2 linked regions of the Xenopus tropicalis genome follow. The protein of the gene in region 2 purifies or fractionates together with the protein of the main gene of each other region. This does not show direct contact. Links are inferred from orthologs where the notes say so. Each region holds a gene or a part of one and is shown on either strand. Other genes may lie near its edges.

Region 1 (3,600 bases), on a different chromosome or scaffold from region 2:
TAATTTATGAGCGAAACTTACCACAGGCCAATTATAAATACAGCGACACAAACAGCAGATCAGTACTGGGAGGAAGGAACCATTTGGGCATATACCACACACTTATACATGCGGTTACTCCGTTCCCAAGTTACTCTGCGGATGTACATCTTATTACTATACCACCTACTTACTTATTAGCACCCATACTGCTCCATCTAGTGGCGAACGTGCACTTAAACTGCTGCAACGAAGCAGGCAAAGGGCACAGATTATTATAATATATTAAATTACAACACAATTTCTGCCTATTATTTTAACTGGAAAAAAAAAATCCATGTTTTTTTTGTAACTAATTTCAGCTTCCAACTTCCTGGTTCTTGCGAGCACTTTTGGGAGGAAAAAAGTAGTTCATTAGAGCACGGGGGAACAGATTACCCATCAGCGTATCTGTTCGACAGACACAACAAACTGTGGGAGGGGGTTGTTTATACATAACTTACTATCTCCATGAAACGGCAAGTCACTAGTTAGCATTTACCATATATCCCCCGGGAGAGACTGAATTTTTGTATAAGGTCTAGGCTTAATTTAAAAGAACACTGACATGGGAAAACATGTTTGTTACAAAACCCATCAGTTAATAGAGCAGAATCCTGCATTGTAATCTGTTTTTCCCATGGGGCTAGCCATATTCTTCATTTCCCAGGGTACCACAGCCATGTGACCTGTGCTCTGATAAACTTCACTCACACTTTACTGCTGTGCTGCAAGTTGGAGTGATACCACCCCCCCCTCACCCCCAGCAGCCAATCAGCAGAACAATGGGAAGGGAGCAAGATAGCAGCTCCCAGTAGGTATCAGAATAGCACTCAATAGTAAGAAATCCAAGTCCGGCTTGGGACTCCTCCAGTTACATGGGAGTAGGAGAAACAATAGGTTAGCTGAAAGTAGTTCTAATGTGTAGCACTTGCTCCTTCTGAAAGCTCAGACTCAGGCACACTTTACTGCTGCGCTGCAAGTTGGAGTGATACCCCCCCCTCACCCCCAGCAGCCAATCAGCAGAACAATGGGAAGGGAGCAAGATAGCAGCTCCCAGTAGGTATCAGAATAGCACTAAATAGTAAGAAATCCAAGTCCGGCTTGGGACTCCTCCAGTTACATGGGAGTAGGAGAAACAATAGGTTAGCTGAAAGCAGTTCTAATGTGTAGCGCTGGCTGAAAGCTCAGACTCAGGCACAATGCACTGAGATGGCGCCTACACACCAATATTACAGCTACAAATACATTTGTTGGTTCAAGAATAAAAGGTTAAATGGCAGAGGGAATTATTTGCTGTGTAACAGTGTCATTTAATAAATAAAAAGTTCCCCATAAATATCATGACACAATCCCTTTAAGCCCTATAGCCAACATTGCCACAGACCCCCTTGTGTGACTGACATGTTTAGGAAGCCAGGCTATCACATGATAACCGAAAGGCACCTTGGGAAATGCGCAAGCTTAGTAAAGAGCCACAGTGCAGGGTGGAGCAAGATGGCGGCGGCTGCTGCTTCGAACGGCAGCGGGATGGAGGTGGACGTCGCCGGTGAGTATGTAAAGCGCTTGGCTATTGCAAAATGCAGCAGGAGCAAAACAGTTCGCTCTCATATGGAGTTTATGAAAATACACAGGAAGACACCGGCTTTACGCTGAAATCGTTACAGTGAAGCCTATAGGTCTCCATTGGATGCGGGCTTGCCTGTATAGCGTGTGGACTGGTTGTCCGGATAAGGAGGAAATGAGTGGCGCAGCGCCATTGGCTGTGCCAAACGTCAATCAATGGAAACAGGCGCGCAGTAACGTGAAGCGCTGAAGTGAAGCTTTATGTGTGTGAGGGAACAACATGGCTTCTTGGGAGTATTCACATAAATACAGACTTTGAGTTGTGACAGGAAAATCATGTGTAACCAAAATAATGACTGAACTATTACATGCTTCCCTGTGTATTACAGTCTGGCTGTATTTCTGCCAGGGCCAAACATGGCTGCCCAAAGGGCAAAGCCTTCTGCTCTGTCAGAGAAAACACCTGAGGGCAGATACTGTTTGTTTAACTATTCACTGGTAATATGAGCCAGACCTGTCACTTTATGAGGAGAAAAGAGTGACCATAGCTGGTCCAAAACAAATGTAACAATATCTTATAGGTATAGGACCCATTATCCAGAATGCTCAGGACCTGGGGTTTTCTGGATAAGGGGTCTTTCCGTAATTTGGATCTCCTACGTTAAGTCTATTAAAAAATAATTTAAATAAACCCAATAGGATTGTTTTGGCTCCAATAAGGGGTAATTATATCTTAGTTGGGATCAAGTACAGGTACTGTTTTATTATTACAGAGAAAAGGGAATCATTTAACCATTAAATAAACCCAATAGGGCTGTTCTGCCCCAATAAGGGGTAATTATATCTTAGTTGGGATCAAGTACAGGTACTGTTTTATTATTACAGAGAAAAGGGAATCATTTAACCATTAAATAAACCCAATAGGGCTGTTCTGCCCCAATAAGGGGTAATTATATCTTAGTTGGGATCAAGTACAGGTACTGTTTTATTATTACAGAGAAAAGGGAATCATTTAACCATGAAATAAACCCAATAGGGCTGTTCTGCCCCAATAAGGGGTAATTATATCTTAGTTGGGATCAAGTACAGGTACTGTTTTATTATTACAGAGAAAAGAGAATCATTTTCAAAAATGTGAATTCTTTTATTAAAATGGAGTCTATAGAAGATGGCCTTTCCCTAATTCGGAACTTTCTGTACTAGGAAAGCAGCATTAAATGTGTAGAATATGATAAATGCCCACAGTATAGAAGGTAGCTTTTTTTGATATTATTGTACAAACTTCCCCTATGTATTTTTTTTACTAGAACTGTTATTGAACATTTTGTCGTTTCTTTCCTAGCCTTCCCCACTGTCATGGCGCAGGGGGTAACTGGCAGCGTGACAGTTGCGCTCCATCCCCTCGTCATCTTGAACATCTCCGATCACTGGATACGCATGAGATCCCAGGAGGGGCGCCCGGTGCAGGGTAATGTGCCACTATCCCTTCCTCTCATTTCTTCCTATGGATCCTGAGGCTTCACCCACTTACTGACCCCCCTTCCCTCTCCCACCCACAGTTATCGGAGCCCTAATCGGGAAGCAGGAGGGCAGAAACATTGAGGTGATGAACTCGTTTGAGCTGCTTTCTCAGATTAACGAAGAAAAGATCACCATTAATAAAGAGTACTATTACACCAAGGAAGAGCAATGTAAGTGCTTATGTGCCACTAGGGGCACGTACATGTTATAATTCCCACACACAATATGGAAATGGTCATCTTTTAATCACTATATAGCACCTAAAAATGTTGGGCTTAGTACAGGGGAATCCCTATGCTGCCATAGTTTTATGGTATCTCTCTGTACAGGCTATGAGCAAACTTAGGGGGCTGTTCCTGCTGAATTGTGCTTAGTACAGGGGAATCCCTATGTGCCATAGTTTTATGGTATCTCTCTGTACAGGCTATGAGCAAACTTAGGGGGCTGTTCCTGCTGAATTGTGCTTAGTACAGGGGAATCCCTATGCTGCCATAG
Region 2 (4,134 bases):
ACACTTTTATATATAATACTGAATAAACCTAATAGGAATATTTTGCCTCCAATAAGGATTAATTACACCTAAGTTAGGATCAAGTACGAGGTAGTGTTTTATTATTACAGAGAAAAAGGAAACAATTTTTAAAAATTAGAATTATTTGCTTATAATGGAGTCTATGGGAGATGGCCTTTCTGTAATTTGGAACTTTCTGGATAACGGGTTTCTGGATAAGTGATCCCATACCTGTACCATGAAACTCAATCCCCTATGTAAGCACAAAGAACGAATACATTTTCATATTTACTTAAGAAAAATCTTAAATTAGAATACTTTTAAATAAATACTGTATGCCAAAAATAAATACACAAAGAAATCAAATAAATACATAAAAGTTTTGTATTTAGGCCTTGTATTTATCCCATTACCACTTTCTTGCAGATAATTGATTTACACGCAAGCAGGGAGCCAGAACATACTACTTCAGACACACGTGACATTGAGTGTGGCTACATGGGATTAAATATTTCAGCACTCAGACTCACACTCATTTTATCCACAGGTTAGAAACTAGCATAATCGCACAACAACCTAGCCTGGTCCAAAACACTACCAACACCTTTATTTATCAGGCTCGGAAAGAAAGGTGGCCATACACGCACCGATAATATCGTACAAAACCTCGTTTCGTACGATATTCGGTGCGTGTATGGTATGTCGGCGAGTCGACCGATATCGCAGGAAGCTGCTGATATCGGCCGACTCGCCGATCAGACCAGTTTGAAAATTTTGATCGGGCGCCATAGAAGGCGCCTGACCAAAATCTCCCTTCAGCGCTGAATCGGCAGAAGGAGGTAGAAATCCTATTGTTTCTACCCTCCTTACCTGCCGATTCAGCCCTGAATGGTGTGTGGCGGATCTGACGATGTTTCGTGCGACCATCGTCAGATCGCCACGTGTATAGCCAGCTGAAGTCATGAACAGTCACACATAAACATTCTGCTTCACAAAAGTCAATGGCTGCGTTTTAACCAATTCAAGAAACAAAAAAAACCTAAATTTACATTTAAGCACACACTTTCTTCCAGCAGTGGAATGGTTAAAATGTTTTCCCTTTTTTTTTTTTACCTAAAGAGTGTTAAGGGACAGTAACACACACACACTTTTGTACAGACTATAGGTTGATTTAAGAGATAGATGTATTACAGTTTTAGCTTTAATATCCAAAAATATATACACAAAAATTAGATATTACAGAAGGGTATACAAATATAAAAGCTACAAACAAACCAAATAAAGAAACCTCTATCTTCTTAAAAAAAATAATACCAGGGAGGAAGTCCCTTTAAGACTACTAATCAAAGAATGTGACAGCTTTGTCTTTTAACATTCAGACTGGTTAGTTCCAGTATCTGTTTCCCAGTGTTTCGTTGTGCCAGTTACCCTTTTACTGCTACAGCACTACTGCTCTGACATACGACAGGGATACAGTGCTTTATAATGGAGATGAATATCATTAATATACACATGACTAAGTTCCATGGATGGTGCATTGACATATTGTTCTCCTGTGAGTACAGTTGCTGCTTTCATGTCTGCTTATTGTATATAGTGAGATAGGAGAACACAGCAAGAGTTGTGTGTAGGGTACATAATAAGGTGGTGCCCTACCCTTACAACTCCCAGCATGCCTACAGTCTTCGACTAATGGGACTGCTGGACTGTATATACCGAAAGAATCAATTGTAACTCAATATATGTTCTTTAGCCATTTGTTCTACTCCAAGAGGCCCCTATGATGCCTTTATTCCCAAAATGAAAACAAGTCCAGTAGTGAGCCCTCACAACTATAATCGGGCTTTCCCTATATTTAAAACTCACGATGACAGCATTAATATTAAAAGGATGTGTAACCATTATGGGGCCACGGCTACTAGCAGTTATAGCGCTGTTAGAGCACACTTCCGAAGCTAATGCTTGGGGTATAAAGCCATATAAACTTCCTTTCAGTAGAAGCTACGGGGAGAGAAAGGAGCCATTCAGTAAAGCACAACAATATCAAATACTCACAAAACCAAATTAAATCCTTCAAAGCACGAAGCAGTCTGAGGAAAACAAACACATGTGCAACCATAGAGCCGGGCAGCAGCCAGACAGGCGACGCGCATTTCCTTCTATATTCAGCTTTTGCCACCGCTGCCACCTGGTGGGCGGAGGGCCATACAAGTTTGCTGGTTGAAGAGAAACGTAGCACTGGGCACTTACAAACAGAACCGCTGGAAAGTCATATTTATAGCGACAGCGGCTTGTGGGGAATAAAAGGGAGGGAGCCTAAGATCATATACAGTAAGGGCGTCAGAAGCCCAATAAATAGACCGATTGTCAGAGCAGCAAGCAGAATAATAGGCATAGTAACAGTAACAATTTTTATTAAAAAAAATGAAAACTACACCCTCCAAAAGTTACCCATGTCCAGCTGCATTTTACTTAATTACCTCCCATTTAGCCAAAAAGCCCCCAACAAAACTCCACACCATGCTATGGGTACATTTTTGAAGAATGGTGATACGGCGACTAGCCCCCGACGTCTCTCCCCACAGGATATCCGGCTGTAACCCGGAAGTCCAGTCATCTTAGTGCAGAAAAGAAATTTTTGCTGTTGGTAAGTTCTCCCTCTTCTCATGTTCTTTTCAGTGGCTGGAAAAGGGAAAGGAAATGCTGGGTGAGAGGTATGCGAAGGGGAAGGGGCTTTGTGAGAGACACGCTGAGGGAATGGCTGGCTGGGGGCGGAAGACAGACTGAGGAATGGCTGGGGAACTGAAAGAGAAACGCTGGGTGAGAGGTATGCGAAAGGGACTTTGCGAGAGACACGCTGAGAGGAGGGGAAGGCTCTGTAAGAGGAATGCTGATGGGGGCGAGAAATTGATAGAAATGATAAGAAGAGGCTAAAGGGTGTGTGGGGAAAGCTGATTGAGGAGAAAGTCATTGTGAAGGAGAACAGTGTGGGGAAGCCTGACTGAGGGGGCATTACAGGGGAAAGACTGTGTGAAGGGGAACAGTGTGGGGAAGCCTGACTGAGGGGGGCATTACAGGGAAAGTCATTGTGAAGGGGAACAGTGTGGGGAAGCCTGACTGAGGGGGGCATTACAGGGAAAGTCATTGTGAAGGGGAACAGTGTGGGGAAGCCTGACTGAGGGGGCATTACAGGGGAAAGGCTGTGTGAAGGGGAACAGTGTGGGGAAGCCTGACTGAGGGGGCCATTACAGGGGAAAGACTGTGTGAAGGGGAATAGTGTGGGGAAGCCTGACTGAGGGGGCATTACATGGAAAGTCATTGTGAAGGGGAACAGTGTGGGGAAGCCTGACTGAGGGGGCATTACAGGGAAAGTCATTGTGAAGGGGAACAGTGTGGGGAAGCCTGACTGAGGGGGCATTACAGGGGAAAGGCTGTGTGAAGGAGAACAGTGTGGGGAAGCCTGACTGAGGGGGCCATTACAGGGGAAAGACTGTGTGAAGGGGAATAGTGTGGGGAAGCCTGACTGAGGGGGCATTACATGGAAAGTCATTGTGAAGGGGAACAGTGTGGGGAAGCCTGACTGAGGGGGCATTACAGGGAAAGTCATTGTGAAGGGGAACAGTGTGGGGAAGCCTGACTGAGGGGGCATTACAGGGGAAAGGCTGTGTAAAGGATGACAGTGTTGGGAAGCCTGACTGAGGGGGGCATTACAGGGGAAAGGCTGTGTGAAGGGAAACAGTCTGGGGAAGCCTGACTGAGGGGGCATTACAGGGGAAAGGCTGTGTGAAGGGGAACAGTGTTGGGAAGCCTGACTGAGGGGGGCATTACAGGGGAAAGGCTGTGTGAAGGGAAACAGTCTGGGGAAGCCTAGCTGAGGGGGCCATTGCAGGGGAAAGGCTGTGTGAAGGGGAACAGTGTTGTGAAGCCTGATTGACGGAAAAGCAGCATCAGCAGTGGGAGAGGACGTGGAGAGGAGCACTGTACAGGGCAGGACTGCTGAGCCCCACTGCAGGTCACGAACAGGGAAAGAGAAAGGAGCAGCCACCTGATCCATACCAGTGACTCTTGATACGCCTATACTCTGTGAATGTATTGGAAAGTTTTATCTGTATTAAAGTAATTAAGCTTTTACAC

What was found.
Region 1: the proteins of dcaf4 (region 2) and cops6 purify together in Homo sapiens (affinity purification with mass spectrometry; 4 studies listed by BioGRID and IntAct, counting the BioPlex papers as one, with this or other methods). This does not show direct contact. The link is inferred for Xenopus tropicalis from reciprocal best matches to the Homo sapiens genes DCAF4 and COPS6.

Annotation. Positions count from the first base shown.
Region 1 is NC_030679.2:144,242,828-144,246,427, reverse strand, and holds the start of cops6 (COP9 signalosome complex subunit 6), read left to right. Parts: upstream 1-1,494; 5' UTR 1,495-1,515; coding exon 1,516-1,567; intron 1,568-1,835; exon of another isoform or gene 1,836-1,922; intron 1,923-2,926; coding exon 2,927-3,052; intron 3,053-3,143; coding exon 3,144-3,275; intron 3,276-3,600. UniProt on the Homo sapiens protein: Component of the COP9 signalosome complex (CSN), a complex involved in various cellular and developmental processes.
Region 2 is NC_030684.2:106,297,363-106,301,496, forward strand, and holds the start of dcaf4 (DDB1- and CUL4-associated factor 4), read right to left. Parts: upstream 3,053-4,134; 5' UTR 2,481-3,052; intron 2,462-2,480; exon of another isoform or gene 2,056-2,461; intron 1-2,055. UniProt on the Homo sapiens protein: May function as a substrate receptor for CUL4-DDB1 E3 ubiquitin-protein ligase complex.